Linked DNA regions of Arabidopsis thaliana. The protein of the gene in region 1 interacts with the protein of each later gene in a pairwise test. Each region holds a gene or a part of one and is shown in the gene's direction. Other genes may lie near its edges.

The links. The genes of interacting proteins can lie anywhere in the genome.
Region 2: the proteins of AT2G32840 (region 1) and ASIL1 interact in a two-hybrid assay, tested with the Arabidopsis thaliana proteins (one large-scale study listed by BioGRID).
Region 3: the proteins of AT2G32840 (region 1) and AT3G56270 interact in a two-hybrid assay, tested with the Arabidopsis thaliana proteins (one large-scale study listed by BioGRID).

The regions. Positions count from the first base shown.
Region 1 is NC_003071.7:13,929,982-13,938,394, reverse strand, and holds AT2G32840 (proline-rich family protein), read left to right. Parts: upstream 1-3,445; 5' UTR 3,446-3,558; coding exon 3,559-4,113; intron 4,114-4,356; coding exon 4,357-4,409; intron 4,410-4,499; coding exon 4,500-4,539; intron 4,540-4,636; coding exon 4,637-4,714; intron 4,715-4,817; coding exon 4,818-4,931; coding exon of another isoform or gene 4,932-4,967; exon of another isoform or gene 4,968-5,024; coding exon 5,025-5,104; intron 5,105-5,200; coding exon 5,201-5,294; 3' UTR 5,295-5,556; downstream 5,557-8,413. Other genes in the region: AT2G32850 (Protein kinase superfamily protein), read left to right, coding at 418-884, 975-1,140, 1,226-1,276, 1,366-1,548, 1,628-1,721, 1,800-2,464, 2,561-2,947; RALFL16 (RALF-like 16), read left to right, coding at 6,942-7,229.
Region 2 is NC_003070.9:20,177,765-20,185,510, forward strand, and holds ASIL1 (6B-interacting protein 1-like 1), read left to right. Parts: upstream 1-2,845; 5' UTR 2,846-3,207; coding exon 3,208-4,359; 3' UTR 4,360-4,610; downstream 4,611-7,746. Other genes in the region: AT1G54050 (HSP20-like chaperones superfamily protein), read right to left, coding at 1,794-2,057, 2,155-2,358; AT1G54070 (Dormancy/auxin associated family protein), read left to right, coding at 4,919-5,168, 5,254-5,347, 5,451-5,478; UBP1A (oligouridylate-binding protein 1A), read right to left, coding at 6,159-6,425, 6,557-6,733, 6,830-6,915, 7,014-7,133, 7,431-7,461, 7,549-7,636. UniProt on the Arabidopsis thaliana protein: Transcription repressor that binds specific DNA sequence such as the GT-box-like motif 5'-CGTGATT-3' in the AT2S3 promoter. Negative regulator of seed maturation genes during seed germination and seedling development.
Region 3 is NC_003074.8:20,866,995-20,875,243, forward strand, and holds AT3G56270 (WEB family protein (DUF827)), read left to right. Parts: upstream 1-3,005; 5' UTR 3,006-3,225; coding exon 3,226-3,426; intron 3,427-3,720; coding exon 3,721-4,860; 3' UTR 4,861-5,113; downstream 5,114-8,249. Other genes in the region: AT3G56250 (uncharacterized protein), read left to right, coding at 227-287, 703-822, 1,088-1,162; AT3G56260 (uncharacterized protein), read right to left, coding at 1,205-1,798.

The DNA.
Region 1 (8,413 bases):
GCTTTACATGGAAGTTTTTGGTTGATGATAACGTCTTGTACTTTGATACCATATCTGACCATAGTCGCCAGATTCTTAATCGGATCTAGTTCGAGTTATAAGACTCTTCAATAGTCTCTCCTTAGGTTCTTATGTTTTTATTGTGTGTTGATCTGGTTTCTCTGATCAAGGATTCAGCTTTTAGCTCCCTTTATTGGTCATATAAGAATAGATCTGTTTGATTGGTTTCTTAACTGAGCAATTGTGTAGCAGATTAGGTGCTTATCATTATCTTTGTTTTTGTTCTGTGTATTTGAATATCTCATTAGGATCTTGGCATCTCCTATTGATCATGATATCTTGTTCTCCGAAGTTTGTTTGGTTTTGTAACAGATTTTATGTTTATGCAGCATTCTTATTACTTCCACTGATTCAAACATGTGGAAGTTTAAACCTTTTGCTCAAAAAGAACCTGCGGGTCTCGAAGGTCGATTTCTCGAGATAGGAAATCTGAAAGTTCAAGTTAGAAATGTCATTGCGGAAGGAGGTTTCTCCAGTGTTTACTTAGCTCAAGATGTAAATCACGCGTCAAAGCAATATGCTTTGAAGCACATGATATGCAATGACGAGGAGTCACTTGAACTCGTAATGAAAGAGATCTCGGTTCTGAAATCCCTCAAGGGACATCCAAATGTTGTCACGCTCTACGCACATGGTATCTTGGATATGGGGAGGAATAAAAAAGAAGCTCTTTTGGCTATGGATTTTTGTGGTAAATCTCTTGTGGATGTGCTTGAGAATAGAGGTGCTGGTTACTTTGAAGAGAAACAAGCTCTTACGATTTTTAGAGATGTGTGTAATGCTGTCTTTGCAATGCATTGTCAATCCCCACGCATTGCTCACAGGTATACATGTTGTATTATTAGATTTCGTTTCGTTTTTACATTAGCAAGCGATGTGAATTGATACTGTATTGGTGTTGCTAATCGTGACAGAGACTTGAAGGCTGAGAATCTTCTATTGAGCTCAGATGGACAATGGAAATTGTGTGATTTTGGAAGCGTTTCGACAAATCACAAGATTTTTGAAAGAGCAGAAGAGATGGGAATTGAAGAAGATAATATTAGAAAATACACAACACCAACATATAGAGCTCCTGAGGTTTGACTGGATATGCACCTATGCAGATTATAAGAGTTTTAAAAGTGGTGAAAAAATGTTTGATTTATGTCTTTATTGGCAATAGATGTGGGATCTCTTTCGAAGGGAGATGATAAGCGAGAAGGTCGATATATGGGTATGTGATGACACTTTTTCAATCTCTCCAGATTGCTAATCTATTTGGTTGAAACTTGAAAGTAAAGGTTTGTTTTTAAAAAAAAATAGGCTCTTGGATGTCTCTTGTTTCGGATATGCTATTTCAAGAATGCATTTGATGGAGAATCAAAGCTGCAAATCTTAAACGGGAATTATCGTATTCCAGAATCGCCTAAATACAGTGTATTTATTACGGATCTCATCAAAGAAATGCTCCAAGCTTCACCCGATGAACGACCAGATATTACACAGGTTAAAAGTCAATTTTTACTCATTGTTTCTTCTCAGTTGAGGAAATGTAAAATGTCTCTAACAACATGTCCATCTACAGATTTGGTTTCGTGTCAATGAGCAGCTTCCTGCTAATTTACAGAAATCATTACCGGATCGACCACCTGAAATGCAATCTACTGGAGTCCATGATGGTATAGTGAATAAAACCTATTTTGGATAGCTTCTCAAAGAAAGATGTGATTTCTTTTGATCCTTATGAATTTTGACAGGCTCATCAAAATCAGCAACTAAACCTTCTCCAGCACCTCGTAGAAGTCCGCCACCGCCGCCACCATCTTCTGGAGAATCAGATAGTGGAGGACCGCTCGGTGCCTTTTGGGCGACTCAGCATGCTAAAACCTCAGTTGTATCAGAAGATAACAAAAACATGCCTAAATTTGATGAACCAAACAGTAACACATCTAAATCTGAAAGAGTTCGTGTGGATAGTCATCAACCCAAAAAACCAAGTCCTGTGAGAGGAGAGGCTCGTGGTATTCAAAGAAATAAAGATCTTGAAACTACGATTTCTCAGAAGAATACAACTCCTGCTGCAGCCAATAACATGACAAGAGTGTCCAAGGATGATGCCTTCAACTCGTTTGTTGCTGACTTTGATACCACAAAGTTCGATAATGGTAATAAACCTGGCAAAGAAGAGGCATTGGAAGCTGAGATACAGAGGTTAAAAGACGAGTTGAAGCAAACAAAATCAGAGAAGGCAGAAATAACTGCTAAGTTTGAAAAGCTTTCTGCTATCTGCAGATCGCAAAGGCAAGAGTTGCAGGATCTCAAACAAACACTTGCCTCTAAAAGTGCCTCACCGTCACCGAGCAGAGACTCTTCACAAAATCAACCCTCTCCAGGGATGCATTCCATGTCATCAACTCCATCGGTATTATTCTTGGTTCTTGTTCATCTAAGCTTAGACACCCATACAAAAGTCTTCATCAATGTATATCTTAGAATTCTAATGTTCTTGATGAAACAGAGAGATAAGATGGAAGGAACAATGTGGGAACTTCAACAGGACAGATCTAACTGGTCAACTGGCAGCTCTGATACAAATTCATGGCAACCTTTTAGTGATGAAGCGAAACCCGTGATGGAATCTGCATCAAAGGGTAACAATAATACGATTAATCAGTCTGTGAGAACCAGAAGTAAACCAGCTTCTGCTGCAGGTACTCAAGGTTTTGAGCCATGGGGTTTCGAGACAGAATCCTTTAGAGCCGCTGCAACGTCTGCAGCTGCTACTTCTGCATCTGGAACACAAAGATCTATGGGCTCTGGAAACAGCACTTCACAGAGATATGGGAACTCAAAGATGAGAGAAAACCAGAAAACAGCTCAACCTGCTGGATGGGCCGGCTTCTAAAACTCACTCAGATGCGCATTGCTATTTCTTCCTCATGCAACAACAACAGCTTCATGTTGCTGCCATTACAGAATCTTGAATCTTTTTGTAGATGATGATCATCCCCTGTTTTTGTGCTGCTGCTAAATATACCCCACCCATATCCATTATGTTTTATGTAGAGTCTTAAACTTTACACATTCTCTGAGCTGTGGCCAGATATCTCAGCTTATGGATTATTATTGGAAAAATAAATAATTCAAGATTCAGACAGCTTACACTTCTTTCTGTGAAACTTAGAACTAAGGTCACATTTAATACCGAACCCAACCATACGATGGCTGCATTATGGTTTAAATGTTACCCAAAAAGATTTCAGCCGTAACTAAATCAGCATTTTAAAATCCTGGATTAATTTTCGTTAATGTAAATCTCACATTGAACCGGACCCGAGTAGAAAAAAGTAAAAAACCGAACCAAAACATTAAATACCGAGCCCTAGTTTAGTTAGTTAGAAGGAACTTAAAAAGAGTTCGTGTCCTGAAAATCAAAGAAAAAGCTACCAAATTTTGAATCGTTGTCTTTAACTTGATTTTCCCCAAATTTCTCAGAAATCAAAATCCGCCGGAACAATGTCTACTCCCGATCCCAATCCCAATCCAAATCCAAATCCTTCCGTCTCTGTAGCAGTATCGACTCCAATCGTCACCGCATCTGAATCTCCGGTGACACAACCTAACACAGTCATAACGCCGTCGTCTCAACCTCAACCTCAAACACCAGCTTCGTCGTACAGAGCCATAGCTCCGCTTCATCGTCATCATCCTCATCAAAATATCTACACTAACCCTTTACCGATTAGGCGTTCGAATTCCGTTACTAATTCGCCTCATCAGCCTCCTCACCCAGACCCGTCTAGTCTGATATACCCGTTTGGTTCTTCGGGTCGAGGGTTTCCGACCCGACCCGTTAGACAGAATTCCAATTCCGTCGCTGATCCAGTTGGTAGTCCTAGTCCAGGTGGGTATACTCCTCGAGGGCCAGTTTACGGATACCACCATGGCCAATTCGTGTCGAATTTGGATCCAATGAATCAGTTCATGAGAGCTGCACATCCTCAGAATCAACAATCTCCTCAACTTGGTTCCGGTCATATGAAAGGAGTTCCTCATTTTTTGCAACCTCGGGTTAGTTATCGTTTTCGTTACCAAAACAAGTTTGAATCTTTTTGTTTAATTCCATAGTTTTGTCAAGTGTTTTTTTTGTAGCTTGTGCTAGTTAGTGAAAATGTGTATGTTGAAGTGAAGATTATTTGCTTTGGTGATTGTAGAATTCGAATAGCAATCTCTAATGAATTAGGAAAGGTTGAAACTTCTGTTAGATATTTGTGTGAGGTTACATTTTGTAAATTTTGGATTTTTGATTGTTAGGCTACTCCTTCTCCAACTTCAATTCTAGACAACAGTGGGCATAAGAAGGCCAGGTACTTTATCTTCTTTGCCATTATGCTTTGTTAATTAGAAACTACTCTAGAAACTTAATAATGTCTCTGTTTCGTTTCCATGGTGTTTAGGAGCCGGGATGATGCTCTGGTCCTCGTTAGAAAAAGAAAGGTATAGTTTTATCCTTGTTTTTTGGTTTTGCATTATCGTTCGAAACCGCTTGCTTCGCCATTTGAGGAATTTTAAATACTTTTTATTTGTTCTGCAGGTTAGAATAACCGAGGGAGCTTCTTTATACTCGCTGTGTCGATCTTGGTTGAGAAATGGTGCTCATGAGGGAATTAAGGTTCGTATCCATTTCTTATTTCTGCTTTGTAGTATAATGCAACACTTGGATTTTTGTATATCTATTCTTGATATCTTTGGAAGATTAATGACGTTGTTTACAGCCGCAGCGAATTGATATGATGACATGTTTGCCAAAGCCTTTACCTGTGGACAAGACGGAGACAAGTTTGCCAAAAGATTTAGTTGAAGAAGCAATTTGCGAAGAAGACAAAGAGGTTTCGTGTTTCTCTGATTTCTTTCTAAAATGGTAATTGTGAAGGGTAAAGCTAAGTTTGATTATTTACTTCAACTCTCTTGATGAGCTTCAGGACGAGGAATCTGTGAAACATTTGTCAGAATCTGATCTTTTGAAAAGACATATAGACCGAGCTAAGAAGGTCCGCGCTCGGTGAGTCCCACAACATATCATCAAAGCTAAGTTCGATGGTTGAAGATTGAATATTTTTTGTTTTGAACAAAATTGTGTGGTTTGTTTTGTTTGCAGATTGAGAGAAGAACGGTTAAAGAGAATCGCGAGGTACAAGGCAAGATTGGCTCTTCTTCTGCCACCCTTTGGAGAGCAATGCAGGAACGAGTAATGATTTTAAAGTTAGGGACTTCGGTGTGAATATACTTGCAGTTGATTTAGAAATGACATAAATTATCTTAGAGCCAGAGTTATGTCTTATGTCTGTGTGTAATATAAGAAAGATTTTCTCTGAATTTTCGTCATACACTCGTATTAGATGATTCTAAACTAATCAACAATCTCAAGATTTTCTGAGATGGTTAACTTATATAGCTCTTATCTTTTTTTTTTTTCAAGAACACCTAGTAGTTCTTGGACAAGTAAAATTTTCAATATAGTATTCGGTCATGGTGGGTCGACCATGTTTTGAACGCTGGATCGATCATCATGTGGTCGGACGATCATAATTTCAGAGATTGATCGACCATCCTTGGAAGCACGAACACATTTAGTCATGTGTTTGAATTTTCTTTTATCTTATTTGTTTCCAACTCCCAAATGATACGAAATGTCACAAAAACTCTTAAAATCACTACATAATCTAAGACTTCCTAAGACACAAATACTCCTATGGACATTAAAACAAGATTTTATCAACAGTGAAGCCATATTATCATCACTGTAGTTCTGAAAATGCCATATTGCCCAAAGTCTTTTCTAGCTAGTATGCCATAGTGGCTAACATCTTCTTCTTTCTTTTCATCTCTCTAAATAAGCAAAAAATTGAGAGGCTTTCTCTTCCTCTTCTATTCCTCTCCAACATAGTATTCATTCTCTCCTCATCTCATCTCTTGTTTCTTTTCAGCCGGAGCTTGTGCCGATGGTTCTACGTCGATCTCACTCTCTCAACGACGAAGAAAACATCCCCCAAAGCCTCCTTCTATGTCCAAATGTAAAGCTTCTCCGCAGCACACAACCTTCCACCGCTGTACCACCACCGTTCCTACTTTTCTGACATGGAACTGAAGCTTTATCAAGTTTTATGTTAAGTAATGTTAATCGGAAGTCCTTTAGGCAAGATGTCTAGCTAAATGTTATAGAAATTCTAGGGTGACAATTTTTGTTTTCAGGCAGACAATGGTAACTAGTAACTGGACAAATTAATTTGAAGTATACAAATTATTATGGACAATATTTTTCTAATATTTGTAGACAATTTTTATTACATATAAGATCAATTACTCAAATTTTGTTTTAAAATATATTTTTTCGAACGAAATATGATTTTAGGATGAAACAAGAGGCCATATAGTACGACGAACATGACCCATCCACAAGCTTAATTTGTTCTTGTTTTCCAACTCACTCTTTTCTAATTTGAAGATTAATGCTTACTGACCTTTAAGATTAAGATGTTGTAGTTTTGTTTTTCAAGTTTTCACCGTTTAAAATACACAAATACCAAAAGTCTTTAGTTACACTTTGTTATGTAACAAAAAACATTGCTGGCATAGTGGCATATTGACAAACCTTCCAAAATTTGATTTATCTGTTTGAAATATCACAGTTAAAAAAACAAACCCAAAAAAAAGAGATGTTTATGACAAATGAACTCCATGAATATGTATTATTCCCTGGCATATGTAACAACATAACTTTATTAACCAACTCTTGTCTCATTATAAATTTCTGAAACAATGTATACAATAATTACTCACTAATTCTTGTAGCAAATTAAACCCAAAAATAGTTAAGAAGAAAATTAACAAAAAAAAATATGGTTGCATACGAGAAGAGTCCTATTGTTTTTCTATTTGCTACAATGATGCTTGTAATGTTTTTGTTTTGTGGAAGTGGAGAAGCAAGAACATTAGGGTACGGATCTATTAAAGGAGACCGAATTCCGGCATGTGGCTATAAAAACCCCAATTCATGTGTCAAACAACCAGTTAACCATTACCATAGAGGTTGTGAAAAAATTACCAGGTGTGCTCGTGATGCTGCTCGTTATACTGAATCCTTCAATGTCGATGACGATGAAAGTCCCATTATTAATCTCCATTGAAATTTAATCTTTAATTTACTTTCGTTGATACTACAAAGATTCATGTATTTATACGTCGTGTAGCTTGAATATATTCATATACCTAATTATCAGTCTATTAAAATGTGAAAGATTATATTTTATTAATTTGTGTTTTTATGTAAAGTCACTAATTGTTGTCTTAAATTTTTATGTATTCTATGCTTTTCCTGAGATTATTTATTTATTTGTTTATAATTTTTTTTTAATTAAAAAATAAATTATGTGTGACTACTCTTTCTCTAGATATGCCTTAAGCAATAAAAGGGGGAAAAACATTTTTTGATGACAAATTAGTTTGTCATATGAATGAAATTGTGGTTTAGATGAATTTCATCCAAGAATTCTTAATAGAACCGAAAATCTCTTTAAGTTTTAACATAATCAACAAAGATAAATTCTATGAACATTCCTAATATTTCCTTTAAGATTACTCAATGAATTCTTGTCCGAGCGCTTGCATTTGTCTAATCATCAACATAGACGAATCATACATTTGCTTGCGGCTAACGTCACCTTCCTTTCCTCCTTCCTCTTCGAAGAGCCTACCATCCAATATACTCAGCACATAGACAAAAATCTATATGAGTTACAAAAATTCATCCATTGAGTTGTTACAATTTAATTTGATTGAAAATTGTTCATTAGACATTAGGTGAGGAATGCAATGTTGTGTGAGTTAAATTTAAGTTACTACTGCTACTATTGATTCAAGTCCGTCATACAAAATTCTAGAGAAAATTAATATATATATCCTCTCGTTTTCCCATATCTTAAAATTGTTAAATTGAAATCCAGAGGGTAAGTGAGAGAAGCAATCGACCTCAGCAAGAGGTGTAGTATTCATAAAAGTTTTACGTTGTATATTTAATGACACTACAAAGTCATTGGAAAATATATTTTTGTAAGGTATATTCTTATAGATTCTTTTAAATGTACTTTTCGTTTCTAGAGTTCTCTGAAGACTTTAGTTCCACTTCAGCGTTTCAACAGTTCAAAGTTTCCACCTCATGCATGTGTTATGTGTACATATTTCTTCTATACATCCTTTTTTTTCAGTGAACTATATGTTATAAAACAGTAACTCTATAGTTAAGTGTAAACTGGTTGGTTTAAGAATAAACTAAATATTTTTTATTAAATTGTAGTAAATTGATTAGTTTAAG
Region 2 (7,746 bases), on another chromosome or scaffold:
CTAAGTTTGATCAAACAATTAGGAATTTGAGCTTTTGCTGAAAAAAAAAAGAAAAAAAAAAAGAAATTTGCTATAAAAATATATCTTGATTTTTTTTTTGTGCAAACATTATGCATATATGATCATATCGGAAACAAGATGTATCCCAACTATTGGCCACGCGGTTGTTGCGGACTTGAAGTTGTGCAGGCCCTGATGAAATCAATTATCAGCTGTGACTTTAGCTAAAGGTGTAAGTGGTCCTGGTGAAGGAAATCAATCGCTAGACAACTAAAAATGTATGGTACAGAGTAGATACTATATTAAATGTAATAATGTGAATATTAATTACGTGGTCCTTCTAATATATCAGAAGCATTTTACAATATTTTGCTTAAAAAACAATAATACAAAAAAAAATTGTTGATGGTTATTTTATGTATTCATCAGAATCTCGACAACAGAGAGCAACAACGCATTCGCAAACTTTTTATTCAAACTCAAAAACAAAATATATTATCTGGTTTCTACCCATTTAATTAAACATGTAATCATATATGAAAGTTATTTATATACTAATAGAGTGAGACCTCTATAAATTAATACTTAATATCATTACGGTTCTGGAACAACTCATGCCACTGTACTACACATATATCTTGCTCATTTTCACGTTAATTCCTCACTATTTCATTTTTCTTCATAAATATCATGGCTTCAATCCATACCCAAGAAAACCAAAAACCGAATTTCATCTAAACAGAAGAAGACTAAAAAACGAATATAATAATTAACCATCGTAGAAAGTTTGTAAAGTAATCATATAACATGAAAATTCAAAAAAAAAAATCAACTATTTTTTATTTGGAAATTTAATACCCAAATATTTTTAGTTTGAAGAAAATTTTATATATTAACTAAAAGATGTGAATTAATACCCAAAAATTTATGTGTTGTTATTTTTATATACACGAGTTTATAATAAATCAAAATTTTCCAACTTTACTCTTATCTCTTTAATTAATTATTTATTTTATTTTTAAAAAATATTTTGGTTCTCTTTTTACCGAATTAAACCGAAATCAAAACTGGTTATCACCACCACCGAGTTTTGTTCGTCGATGTGTTAACCAGCTTCTTGTTCGTAGAGAAGAATTTGCAAAGGTAAGAGTCGGTTAACATGGTGTTGGTGAAGAGGGAAGCTCTAGAAAGTTTATAAAGCCCAGATTGACAATTGGCGTGTTGGTTGTTGGATTGGGAAAGCTCATCGGGTTAACATGACAAGAACAAAATTTGGTGGTGGTAATAACCAGTTTTGATTTGGTTTAATCCGGTTAAAAGAGAACCAAAATAATTTTTTTAAATTAAAATAAATAATTAATTAAAAAGTTAAAGATAAAATTGAAATTTTTAATTATTCATAAAATCATGTATAAAAATAACAACATATAAAATTTTAGATATTAATTCTTGTATGTTTTAATTTGTATATGTATTTTTTCTGACTAAAAACATTTGGGTATTAAACTTCTAAATAAAAAATAGTTTGAATTTTTTTTAGAATTTTTCCTATAACATTAATCTTGTAGAATCCACAAAAATTTTGTAGAGCCCAGTGCCTTAGGAGTATCTTATGGTGGTAATGTCGACAACGTTTTTATTTGTTTTTGGTTTTGGAGGCTAAACCTATTTATTTCTTCAATTTCAAAATTTCGACAAGAGAACACATAAAAGAAACAGAGTCTTTTTATCCAAACACAGAAAAATTACAAACTAGAAAACAAACACACACAAAAACAAAACACAGAAACTACTCAAGAAACAGCGATTTGAACAGTCTTAGGTTTCGGCGGCTGTGGCGGTAGCTTCTTGATAACAACTGTCAAAACACCTTCTTGATATTTAGCCGTTACAGAAGCCATATCAGCATCTTCTGGTAACCGGAACTTCTTAACCAAATTCTGAGCAAGTCTCCTCTCGAGTCTAATATACTTAGACCCTTCTTCACTCTCATCATCATCTCTCTTCCTCTTCCCATTACTCTTTATCACTAAAGTCCTCTCTTCCTCCACTGTAACCTAATTTCCCACCAAAACCCCCAAATCATAAATTAAATTAAAAAAAAAACCCTAATTTCATAAACAATTCAACATTTCTATGGGATTATATCAATACCTGGATATCTGATTTTGAAATTCCGGGGATATCGAGATAAAATATGTATTCTTTGGGAGATTCCAAAATGTCTATTGGGATATTATTGCTACTTCCTCTTCCACGACTCTCGTTATTACTTTCGCCGGAACGAGAAATCGGGAGAATTAGCTTCTCGATCGCCTCCGGTAAGCCAAAAAAGTGGTTAATCGCAACAGCACTCATCTTCTCCGATCAATGACTGCCAGAAAACAAAACAGTTAAAAAAATCAACAATTCTGAAATTTTCCAGGAAAAGATCGATACAGAGAATAGGATCATTACCTGGGAATTAGGATAACCCTTTCCAATTGGATCTTCCTCTTCTTCGATTTGATAGTATGGGGTTTGAAATTTTCACTCCATTGATATATAGTGAGTAAACACCAGTGAGCTAGAAAGTTCCAGAGAAAATTTCTAGAAGTAACTAGTGAACTTGAGAGTTGTTTCAAAAGCTTCCACGTCATTAAATCTCCTTTTATTGGGCCTTATAAGTTATTTATAGGCCGTTTAGCACATTGGACTTGATTTATGTCTTTGTTCTATTTTGTATTTTTATTTCTTATATCTGTTTTTATTGGGCCTTGAAAGTTATTCCAGGCCTTAGCCCATTAGACTTGATTTATCTCGTTTTATTTTAGTTAGAGTTTTTGAGACTTGAGACAACCTACCTAACCATACTATAGACAAGAAAATAAAAATACTTTTGTATATTAGAGAAATTTTGAAATCCGTCAGTGTGTATATTCAATATTCCTAACGAAAAAATGGCCAAAGCATAAATACCTTATAGCGATATTTGAGTATTTACCATAAAACCATTCGAATACTGTCACGGTTCTAAATTTCTAATATTGTTCTTTTGTTATTAAAGGAAAGAGTGAAGGGTGTTTTCGTCATTTAACATATCCATCGGGTCAATAACGGAGATTACCTATCCGGTGACCTTATCCCCTCGCCGGTGAGCGAATCTCAGATCCAAAATTTTGCAAAATCCTCAGATCGTCTTACCTTCTCCGAATCGATCGATTTTTCATGGAGGACGACGACGAGATTCAGTCAATTCCATCTCCGGGAGATTCTTCCCTTTCACCACAAGCTCCTCCTTCTCCGCCGATTTTGCCAACAAACGACGTGACGGTGGCCGTCGTGAAGAAACCACAACCGGGGCTTTCTTCTCAATCTCCGTCCATGAACGCTTTAGCGTTAGTGGTTCATACTCCTTCTGTAACCGGTGGTGGTGGTAGCGGAAACAGAAACGGACGAGGAGGAGGAGGAGGAAGCGGTGGTGGTGGAGGAGGAAGAGATGATTGTTGGAGCGAAGAAGCTACAAAGGTTCTAATCGAAGCTTGGGGAGATCGATTCTCTGAACCAGGTAAAGGAACTTTGAAGCAACAACATTGGAAAGAAGTAGCTGAGATTGTGAACAAGAGTCGTCAATGCAAATACCCTAAAACTGATATTCAGTGTAAGAACAGAATTGATACGGTGAAGAAGAAGTATAAGCAAGAGAAAGCTAAGATTGCTTCTGGTGATGGACCTAGTAAATGGGTTTTCTTCAAGAAGCTTGAGAGTTTGATTGGTGGTACTACAACATTCATTGCTTCTTCAAAAGCTTCAGAGAAGGCTCCTATGGGAGGAGCTCTTGGGAATAGCCGTTCGAGTATGTTTAAACGGCAAACTAAAGGTAATCAGATTGTGCAGCAACAACAAGAGAAGAGAGGCTCTGATTCGATGCGGTGGCATTTTAGGAAACGTAGTGCTTCTGAGACTGAGTCTGAGTCTGATCCTGAACCTGAGGCTTCTCCTGAGGAATCTGCTGAGAGTCTCCCACCTTTGCAACCGATTCAACCGCTTTCGTTTCATATGCCAAAGCGGTTGAAGGTGGATAAGAGTGGAGGTGGAGGGAGTGGAGTTGGAGATGTGGCGAGGGCGATACTTGGATTTACGGAAGCTTATGAGAAGGCGGAAACTGCTAAGCTTAAGTTAATGGCGGAACTGGAAAAGGAGAGGATGAAATTTGCTAAAGAGATGGAGTTGCAGAGAATGCAGTTCTTGAAAACTCAATTGGAGATAACACAGAACAATCAAGAAGAGGAAGAGAGGAGCAGGCAGCGAGGAGAAAGGAGGATCGTTGATGATGATGATGATCGCAATGGCAAGAATAACGGCAATGTAAGTAGCTGACAATTGAACACACAAATGTTCCTATGATATTTGCTATGATAAGCTGGATTTTAGGTTTTGATGTTGTTGTTGTTGTTATTGTTACTGCCTTGTGGGATGTGTAAATGTAGAGAAGTTATGACTCTGATTATCATCATGTTGTTGTTATTGTTATCCATCTTCTTGTCTTAAACATGGGCAAATTAAAAAGCTTTGAACTTGAATAGCTTGTTGAAAACCTCTGTGATTCTTAAGTAGAGTTCTGAACTAGTAGTTTGTGATTCTAAGTTAAGACACAGCTTATAGAATATTCACCAATGAGATTAGAGACTAATGATTGGATTAGTCAGCATATTTATCCTTAAATTAAAATCTCCTTAATTAAGCCAAAGCTTATAATTAACCTCACTAAAAATATTCAATGCTTCTCTCTTCTCTTTCATCCTTACCTCTCTACTACCTCTATAAAACCATTTCCATTGCAAAGGAAAAAAAAAGAAGATAGAGACAGTAAAATAAAAACCCGAAATAATTTGAAAAAATATTGTTATATATTTTTGGATAAATTTTTGTTGATCGGATGGGGTTCCTACACAAGCTGTGGGATGAAACGGTGGCCGGACCGACGCCGGACAATGGTCTCGGGAAATTGAGAAAGCACGATTCATTATCCACCGTCCGATCTTCTCCTCCTTCTCTCTCAAGCGACCAAGTCACCAGAAGCATCATGGTTACCAAGGGGAATAACAATGTTCGTGGTCTCCGTAAATTGAAAATGGATCCGGATTCTCCAACCTGTTCAAGCAGCAACCCTGGGACACCTTTAACCCGTATATATTTCTCATCTTCCCTTTAAACTAAATTAACAATAACAAAATTAAGACTCACATTTGGGTCAAACACATTTTTATGCAGCTGGGACACCATGCTATGCTTTGGGACCATTCACTGCCGGCAAAATCCCTTCCTCTGGCGAAGACGATGCAGCAAGTCTAACTACTTATGAATGGTTATCATCTCTATCACTTCATTTCCTAATCAATTCTCTTTTTTGTTGTTGTGGGCAAACTCTTTATGTGTGTACTTATGATATGCTTTGTGTACGTATGCAGGATTGTGATAAACGCGTTGGACCGTTGAACAAGCCGAGAGAGAAAAATCTTACGGGGTTTTTGTGTAAATATAAATAACCTATGCATGTAATTATGTAAATATTTACTGATAAGGTCAGTATTAAATGTAATGTCTCTTGAATCAATGTACCCTATTACAGGGTCTTGAAAATATTATTTGAACCCTGCCAATTTCCTCTAATCGTTTAAATGTTGAAGCCTATATCAAGATTCTCTACTACATCCTATGAACGACAAAGGCAAATAAAAAAACCTTAATTATATACTTTGCTGCATGGCAAAGGACACTCGTGGACAGAACACTTGATGCTTAGTTAAACTGGATTTCCGACAAAATAAAGTACTAACATGAGAAATGAAACTATAAAACTTTTATAAAAGACAAATTACTTTGTTTCAAACCTATCATTACAGAACCACAAACAACATTAACCCCAGAAAACCAAATCCCCTTTTATTTGATGTTGTCTTATTGCTTGGCTTACAATCCAAGTAAGACCTATAGGTTACAAACTGAGCATAAAGCTCTGCATACATAAATAAAACCAACGGCTTTAAATGAAAGAGACACATACATAAAGACTCTTGAACAAGGAAGGTCTAGAAAAAGCAAGAAAGTTATAAAATTAAGAAGAAGAAAAAGAAAGAAACAGAAAAAGGTATCTCAGAGCCAGTGAAGAGGGTTTATTACTGATAGTACATGAGCTGCTGATGGGCCGCAGCTACATTCTGATAGCCACCATCATACATAGCTGCAGTTCCTCCAGCAACATTGACTCCAAGACCTGCTTGCCTCAGAGAATGTTGAGCCTGAGGATGCATCTTGGCTAGAGCCAGTTGCCTCTCGTAGGCTAAGAGGTCCATTGCAGACAGAGAAGGGACTGATGCCGGGGCTGGTGGGGGAAGTGGGTTTGAGGCTGTGCCTGATGGAGTTGGTTTGTTTCCCCAGGAACACTGCAATAAATCACAGAAACAAGGAAATGGGTTTAGGGGAATACTGGTAAAAACCAATTACAAGCAGACTTTGGTTGTCTACGTAGATGCAACAACAGATAGATCTATGTAACATTAACTGAAGCAAATACCCTTATCTGTCTGCTAAAGAGGAAAGGCTGAGCGTTGCCCATCTGAATAGCAAGAGCAGCCTCGTCATGAGTGTTATATCTCACAAAACCAAACCCTTTGTCTCGCTGGACACGGACCTCTTCGATCACTCCAGCACCAAGGGTATAGAATAGACGGTGTAGATCAAGCTGAGTTACCTGCAAGATTGACAACTGTCACGAGGCGCCAAAAAGAAAAACCCCAGGAGCTGTTGCAGTGTTTATAAAGAACAATTCGTTAAGTTGACAACTTACTTCTGGAGAGAGATTTCCTACATAGACAGTTGTAAATTGAGGATTGTTTTCAGGGGCATCTTCATTTGACAGCTCTCTACCATCCTCTGCAAAATCAAGTATTATATCAATGTAATCTCCATGAAAATCTGCTTTGAGGAAGAAAATAAAAATTTTAGAAGTTGCACAGTAAACAAAAGAAAACCTGAAGATCCGTTAGTAAGTTCTACAACACTTTTTCCATCAGAGCTATGTTTGTCCTCGCCAAAAGTAGCACCTTTTGTCGCCCAGTTGCATCTGATCTGTCTGCTACTTACCCATTTACCTGAGAATACACAAAACAAGCCAAGGTTCTAGTAATGGGAAACCAAGTGCTAGGAATTGAGATAAATAGCTCAATTATAGAGATAAATCATAATCGGCACAAGCAACATGTAACTTCAACAGTTGTTCACCAACCAATAAGCTCCAAGAACACAATTCCTGACCAAATTTCACCTTTCTAGATACAACAAATATTACAGAGCTAAGTGCATCATACAATATCAGTATGTAGAAACCAAAGTTCACAATAAGGAACCTTAAAGCTCTAAACCACAAGCTGGTATATGATAATTCTTACCATTCATCTCATTTATGGCAGTTTGAGCATCCTGCAAATTACAGAAACATTTAAAAATCAATGTAAACAATGAATGGAGCTAAAAAAAAAGTCACTCATGATTAAAAGGATATAAAACCTGCTGATTACGGAAGGAAACAAAACCAAAGCCTCTTGAGCGTCCAGTTTTCTGGTCCCACATTACTCTTGCGTCCCTATAATAAGAACTATAGATATTAAATCAAAGATTCTGATAGACTGTTTAAACAAATAAGCTTAATCATTAAAGAAAATCTTGTAACACATAGTGATATATGCGTACACCGTAGTTGTGTAA
Region 3 (8,249 bases), on another chromosome or scaffold:
CTAATAGTAGCTAATGTACATATGGAATCAGGATAGAATGTAGTTCATGCTGACTAATTTATTGATGCCTGTTCTTTTGAAAGAATCTTGTCAGTAAGAAATAGTAGATGAGATAACTTTTGTTAGTGTTACAGTTAACTTTCATCAAATTTGTTTAGCATTTTGTGGGCTGTTTATAATCAACCATGTTGTTGTTAGTTAATTTTCTTTGAAATTTGTATCACAGGAAGAAAACACGTCAAGCTAGTGAAAACAAAAAGAAGACCTTGAAAGTGGCTCCAAAAAAGGTGAATTCAGGAAAGCTCTGGCTGTTTACTTATCAGAACTGTAATAATTCTATGTTGTTATCATCTTTCTGCGAAAAAGTAGTCAATACTTTGATCTATTGGTTTTATGGCTCTAGCAAAGTGTATATCAGTGCATTGTATGTTTCAACATTGATTGTTCACAACGTTCTTCTGCCACATGTCTGAAACCAGTGCTACACATAGTTTGAAGTGAATTGCCTAGTCCTTCAGTTTCATGTATATTCTTCTTTTTTTCAAAAGTTGGATTTAGAATATTGTCACGAGATACAGTGGGATTACTGTTTAATGAGATATGCAATTTGGAACTCCCATTGTTCAGTTATAGAGCCTTATGACTATTGGTAACATATAAGTTTGCTCCAAATCTAATTCTGCATTTGTGGTTACATTACAGAGACAGCGGACGGTAAAGCAAGAGAAAGAGGATCCGGTTAGTGCAGCTTGTCAGGATTATATCGAGAAGCAGAAAGCTTACTTTGCAGAGATTGATGCATTTGAGCTGCCAGTAGAAGAGGTATCTAATAGCGACTCAGACTAAGTAAGAAGAGATAACAATCTTAAGGATATCATAGAGACACCATAACCCGTTCGTAATCACTGTATAGCTAAGGAGTATTCTCACAGGAAATGTTTCACTGGTCACTTAGTACACATGACACGTCAAATCTGTGTATACAAAATATCTATCGGTTTATAATATTTAACATCGTTTCAGTGGGAGAACGTTCTTGGTTCTACTTAGACATGAATTGACGAAAAAGCCTGTCCACAATACACAGGTAAGGCCACGACTGAGAGACAAACTATATACTTACATTCACACACCAATAACTATAACACTCTCTGTTCAATGAGGCGAAGCAGCTCATAGAAAAAACCAAGCTTTATTCACATAATCAAGCTTTATTCATGTCGCTGATGATTAGAGCTTTACCTGTGGTCTCATGTCTCTTCATACCCTCCATTGACCCAGAGAACAGAGCTCTTGTCACACTCCCCATTGAAGAACTACAGCCAAGTCTTCCCCCGTTGGAGCAACACAGAGTCGAGGTTGGTGAAGACCTAAGCTCATCCTCTTCGTAGTTAGCGTACAGAAGTGGCGATTTTTTGTCGTGACTCATACGTTTTTTCAAAGAATGTGGTGGCGAGGAGGAAAAGGAAGATGAAGATGACGTAGAAGACCAAGAAAACGATGAGCTTGCCGTCTTCTTGCTACCGTGATTGCTCCTCCTGAGATCACTGAACATGGAGAAGGACAGAAACTTACTTAGTTTTGATCTCACCTTGCTTTGCGTCCTTGGTGTCGACAAAATCCCGGAGGAGTAGTATGAGGGCGGCGGTGTGAGAGGCAGAGGAAGAGAGGAATCGGAGCAGAGGTGGTTTTTGGGTGTTCCTGGCCTTGACTCCCATATGAATGGTATGGAGGCTCCGCCATAGTAGGAGGATCTCTCTTCATCGATTGCAAAGTCATCTTCTAGTCTTTCTGACATCTGTTTTTTATAAACTCTCGGTTTATGTTTGAGTCGGCTTTTGATGAGAATTGATGTACGAAAATTGAAACAACAAGTGCTAGTTTCGAAGCTTCTTTAGAGGTGACAAAGAGTAATATGTATTGCGAGTAAAACAAGTTTGCCGATGAAACAAAAGAATCTTCTTTGCACGGTTGTATATAATCGTGGATATTTATTCTGCTTTTTTATTTTCTTTAGGAAAAATTCATATGGATGAGCATATTACAAGTATATGGAAGATCATACATAGGGGAAAAAATTGGTTAGATAATAAATGAAAGGTGGCTATCTTACTGTATGCATTACTTAATGCGTTTTCATTAATAATAAGAGAGTCGTGAGGTGAGGATCACATTATTGGTAAACAGTTACTGTAGTAAGCATTGCTTAGAGTATTTAATATGTTACCTTTTGTGGGATTCCACTCTATAAACCTTTTTATTTGGTGTTCTTATAATTAAGGAAATAATTATTGACCAACAAATCCACACGTTTTAATATATATCAAGACTACTAACCTTGTTTGTCGTAATTTGAAACTACTGACCAAAAGTTTGGGGCATGTTCATCCAAAAGATATAATGGTTTACATTTAATGAAATGATAATTTAGATAGGATATAATAGGGAACTACTCAGAGTGTCAGACCAAACCATCTGAATACGTACCAATGTCAAGTGCTAACTGGTAACTCCCAACAATAGTAATTAGAAAAGATATATATATTTGTCGGTTCTAATTAGTTGGAAGAAACGTATGCGGAGAAATAAATAGAAACGTGAGAGATCGAAAGACGACGGTGATGAATTTGGACGGTTGAGTGAGGGAGGTCGTATAATTTAATGGTCGTTTCCAATCGTATTCGTACGTGGTCCGTTTTCTCCTACTCGGATTTTGCTTTAATGTGATGGCCACACAAATTGGTTAGAAAACTATAAGGGAAAGCTCCACCTATTTATTTCACTCATACATTTACTATACACTAATATCGCACGGGAAAATTATAACAATTTTCGGATATTCGTATTTGAACAGAAACAAACAACACATACGTAAGAATTTCCTTCACAAAAAAGCCCAATATAGACGAACTTGAACTTCGTACCAACGGCCCAATATCGCTTCCTTAATCAACGGCCCAAAATTTTCATTTATTAATTAATCAGATAACCAATCAATAGAAGCCACGTCGCCACAGCCATTAGTAGTAGCATCATCAAAGCCTGCATTCTTGTTCTTCGAGTCTCTCTCGTGAGTGACTTTCATTACCGAGAAAAACACAATCATAGAGAAGCTCTCAATCTTGTTTGCTTCTGATCAGTAACTATGATTACTGTAAATAGATCACTCTTTCATTATCTTTCCCTTTCACTTGTACAAACCAATTCGTTCTCGAGCTAACGGAAATGGCGGAGAGGCAACAGAGCCCTGCGGCGGAGACGATTCCCGGTACACCCGTAATCCGGGAAGTGAGAACCGGAACCGGGTCCGAGAATTTCAACCCGGAGAATACAAGGAGAGGATGCTTGAGAGCTGAAATCGACATTTCTCCACAGTTATATGGTGGTCGTGGGTTCTGGGTTCCCTTCAATCTTGAAGACAATTACGTGAGTTCTCTTCTAGTTTCCGATTTACAAAGTCTGTTCATTTAAAGTTTGAGCATTAATGTCACTGAAAGTTTGAAATGTATGTTCTCTAACTGTTAAGTATGCTAACAAACTGAATAACTGATAGCTGATTCGATTTGGTTACTGAGTAGATATTTTGTAATAAGTGATAGCTAATTTGATGTTTGCATTTGCGGCAATTGATTCTGGAACTAGCAAGATGTTATGTAAGATTTTTTTTTGGTATTATATAGCATGATTTGTTTTATGTTTTTTTGGTTTGTCATTCTTCAGGACTGTGTGGGAGAATTTGACATAAAGAGAATGGAAGAACAGACAGTGGAGCTTGAGAAGGATCTGATTATGAAAGAGTTAGAGACTCTGGATCTTCTTGAAGCTCTTGGATCAACCAAAAGGATTTTTGAAGATTTGAAGTGGCAGCTTCAGCAGCAAGCACTGAGATGCAAGGAGACCCCTCAACATTTGCGTTCACACTCCAAAGAGATGGTCGATGAGCACTGCCATCGTAATCCCCTGAAGTCTCCGGATCTGATGACCATGGAAATGAAGCAAGCTGGTATGAATCTTTGTAAAACCATGGATGATCTTGCGTTGATCCACTCTTATGCTGAATCTCTGAATATGAAAACGAAGGAAGAGAAAGATGTCCTTGGAGTAGCGTCTCTAGCGGAGGAACTTAACAGTTTGAAGTTTAAACCAGCAGGTCCTGATCAAGTAGAGAGATTCAATACCGAGAATTTACCAGTGAATCCACAATGTGAACAGATTAAGATGGTAGTTGAAACCTATGATACAGCTTTCCATAAACAGAGCAAAACCTGCCCGAGAACTGCAGATATGAGATTGGTTGCTGCAAGAAAAATGGAAGAGGCAGCAAGAGCAGCGGAAGCACTTGCGCTTGCTGAAATGACCATATTATCCAGCAGAAGAAACCAAGACGCTCTCTGCTTCCCTAAGACACCATGTTTTCCATTAACACTTAAAGCACAGATGAACAAAGAATTATCCACCAATGTCTCAAGAATAGAGATCTTGAGGAAGCTGGAGGAAGCTAACGAAGAAGTTAAACAAAGTAAACAAGCCTTGGAAGTTGCGTTAAACCGGGTAGAAATCGCTAGTGTGAAGCAACTTGAAGCAGAAGAGGCATTTCGGCAGTGGAACATAGAGTCATGGAAAGACCAGAAAGCTGTTGGAGCAAAACGCTCGATGAAAAGAGAAAGCTTTCCTCAGCGCTCTTTCTTGAGCCATATCAATCAGCACGAGCCACTGATCGATCTCCCTGAGCCAATGCTGAAACGTAACGTCTCAATGGGTAATGCTCTTAACCGAAAAGATGAGAAACAGTTGGTCACGCCGAGGAGAAAGTTTAGGTTCATACAAACACATCAAGCTTCCATTAGAAAAACAGAGTAAGCTAAAAAAATACCCAACCTTTGAAAACATGTTTTGCACATTTCGATTCCTGTTTTTTTTTATTCTTGGTTTGATCATTGATGGGTGTTGTTGCTTCCATCAAAAGCAAAACACAGATGATTAGAGTGAGATGTGTTGTTTTGACTCAAATGTGACAAAAAGAAAAACATTATAGTAAAAACTAAAGCTTCTAGTAATCATAATTAATTATGGGAGTTAGTGAAGGGCATTGATCATATGATTTAGGTGGTGGGCACTTTCTTAACTAATGCATTTTAAGTGTTAGATTAGCTAATTAGGTGATCCATAATCAATACCGTAGGTCCTCAACTGTTTATTTTTTAATAACGTTGGTCTTTATAATGTTTCTAGATTCTCAAAATAGAAACTGAAACATTCAGGTTGAACTACGGAGATAAAAACACATTTTACGATTTGACCAGTTTGTACTTTATACTGTATAAGTTTGGAGTGGTCAGATACAGAATGATGACGTGGTCAAGGCTTTTAAGACAATCTAGATATCTCCAATAACTTAATGCCACGTGTTTTAGTCTTCACAACAAAGATTTCGTCTGGAATCCTCGTATTGGCTTAGAGCGTGGGACCAAACGAAACCAAAAGAAGGAAAAGGAACTAAATAAATAAATAATTAAAAAATAAAGTTGAAAAGTAAGAGTGGCGTGGGTTAGCAAAATCATTGTCTCAGGCTAAAATGTGCCACTCCCAACACGTGGGCTACTCTTTTCCAAGTGTCAACTATCTGACGGTACGTTTGCACTTTTTTAAATTAGGTTGCTTTGCGCTCGTTTCGTGTCAATAATCCAAAGACAACGTCTTTATCTTTATTTATTAATTTTGTTTCTCCTAAACATTAAATGTTGTAGCTTTTTGATCATTTTTCATGTTGTAAAATATAATATAATACCCTCTGCTTTGCTTATAAAACGGAAAGGATGCATAGTACACAAAGATCCAGACCAACAAAAAAAAAAGAGGGAAAATCTCCTTGTTCAATAGTCAATAAGTTAGCCGCTATCGATCTTTAGAAAGATCCGTCGATGAGTCCATCCCATGGCGACCGGACCACCGCATTTGCCTCGACGGATCTAGTCATGTTGAGCATGGTACCGGTATTCAACCATCCTTAATTTCATTCTTTGATACCTTTTAGGCATGATACTCTTGATATATGATTCTATAAAGGTATATATATTGAAACTATTTTATGTAAGAAGTTTATTATTGAGGGCACACGTGCAGACATGTTTCAGGCTTAACCATATGGAGAAGGGATGATAACGAGATCTCTCTAGACGTGGATGGGATTTTCGGTTCAAAGATGGAATATTCATATAAATTCACATGCGGATTATAGTTAAATCGGAATAAAGTTTTGATAAGTGGACTCTCCTTACCTAAGTGGGGATGGTAGTCCAGTCTTGTATCAATATATATATTTGGGCTAACTTAGCATGCATATAGAATCATTATCAATGTGTTAGAATATTCTCCACCTATGTTTCGTTCATCCCAATTCCCACATTACTTCGAAAGGTGTCTCAAAAGGCAAGTCATTTTTTCTGGCTATGTATTATTAAATGAAGCTTCGGTTACTAATACTTTTCCACAATTTTCCCCCCTAATTTATTATAAGTGTTTGTAATGGAGAAAGGTTTGATGGAATTAGTAGTTTCCTTTTATGTATGAATGTGATATGTTTTATATTGTAAAGTAGGTTAGCAACTATTTCACTAGAAATCTGCAAAAAGCTACATTATTTATCAATGGCCAAAAAAACATTTGTGGCTAAAAATGAATGGCCACTATAGATACCCTATGGCTATCTAGCTAGCCGTTTCCATGAGAACAATTTATGAGTTTGGAGAGCATGTTTGATCCATAGAAGCAGAATGTGGAGGCTTGAAGGAGGATCGAGACCAGCGAGATTGGTGAAGAACCTTCAGATTGAGTTACTAAAAGTGCTAGAGAAATAGATGATCTTGCGTTTCGTTCTCTTGATGTAGCGACCCCTATCACAAGTATAAAAATATGGAAGCAAAAACAAATTCTGAAATTACATATTATTAATCTTTTGTGCCATGGGACCGCTTATACAGGCTAAGACAGACAATATCTTAAACCCTAAACATTTTCATTTTCAATGAATTTTACATTCTTAGCAAAACAAATTAACAAACAAAAAAGAGAAGAAAAAAAACGATTCCAAGTAGCTATCGAATATACAAACCGTTCACCGTTTCTTAATTTGGAATGATGGACTAAAACCAAGTTAATTTATGTTAAGAGTACAGACTCGAGAGCAGGCTGAAGAGTGTGCCATATGGAATTAGTATTGAACAATAATTATATTACTTTTGAGAGAACATATTTATACATCAGAGATTAGGATTTTTCTATCTACAATTACACTTAAGACTTTTACATTTATATAATAACATTTTTCCTTTACATAACCCCTCAAGATTGGACTGACTACTCCACTCTTGGAAAAAATGTTAATTTGAAAAAGGTTAACGATTGCAAGCCAGTGGATTTGTCAAGGCATCGACGAGTTGGTCTTTAGATGAAAGACAAGCAACTTGAAGTGTTTTTTAAGTTATTAGAATATTCCTAATTAAGTGATATTCGAGGGCAAGATGTTTCATTCTCAAATGGAACATCGGATTGGCACATAAATATGTTGCGTCCACATTAAATGACGGGAGTAGATGATGTAATTGAGATGCCAGGCTATGAGATCCAGTGAATTTCAGAAGAGGTATTTGGCACTGAGTTGTACTACCATGTAGCTTTAAAGCTACCTGAAAGTACTGATGCTAGAAAGAGAAGAAGAATAACAACAATGTATGTTCTCATGAAGAAATACCAAATGTAACTATCTCTTTTTCAAAATACCTAAAACAACAAAAATATTACGAAGGATGGTTTTGTAGACCATAAAGTCATTTAATAAATAACAAAAATGTAATATTACACTTTTTGTTTCTGGTCTTACCTACATCATAAATACAAAGTCTTCTGTTTTTCTTTCTAAATAATCTATTATCTCCAAACCCAAAACACCGAATTACGTAAAATATAGCGCAACACATATTAAAGTACATAAAATATAGAAATATTTTGACGTAAATTGTAGAAACATTATGTTTTCTTTTATGATATGATTTTAATATCCCCTTCAGAGCATAATTTTTCTTTTTCAAAATCCAAAGCTTCTGTATTTTAACTTTAAAAGAAAAGTAAAGATTTATTATTATTACACTCCATTTCTTTCATATTAGTTGTAGTTTAAGGTTTTTACACACATATTAAAAAATTATAAAAATCTCATTTAATCTACTTCTTTTATATAAAAACATCAATTA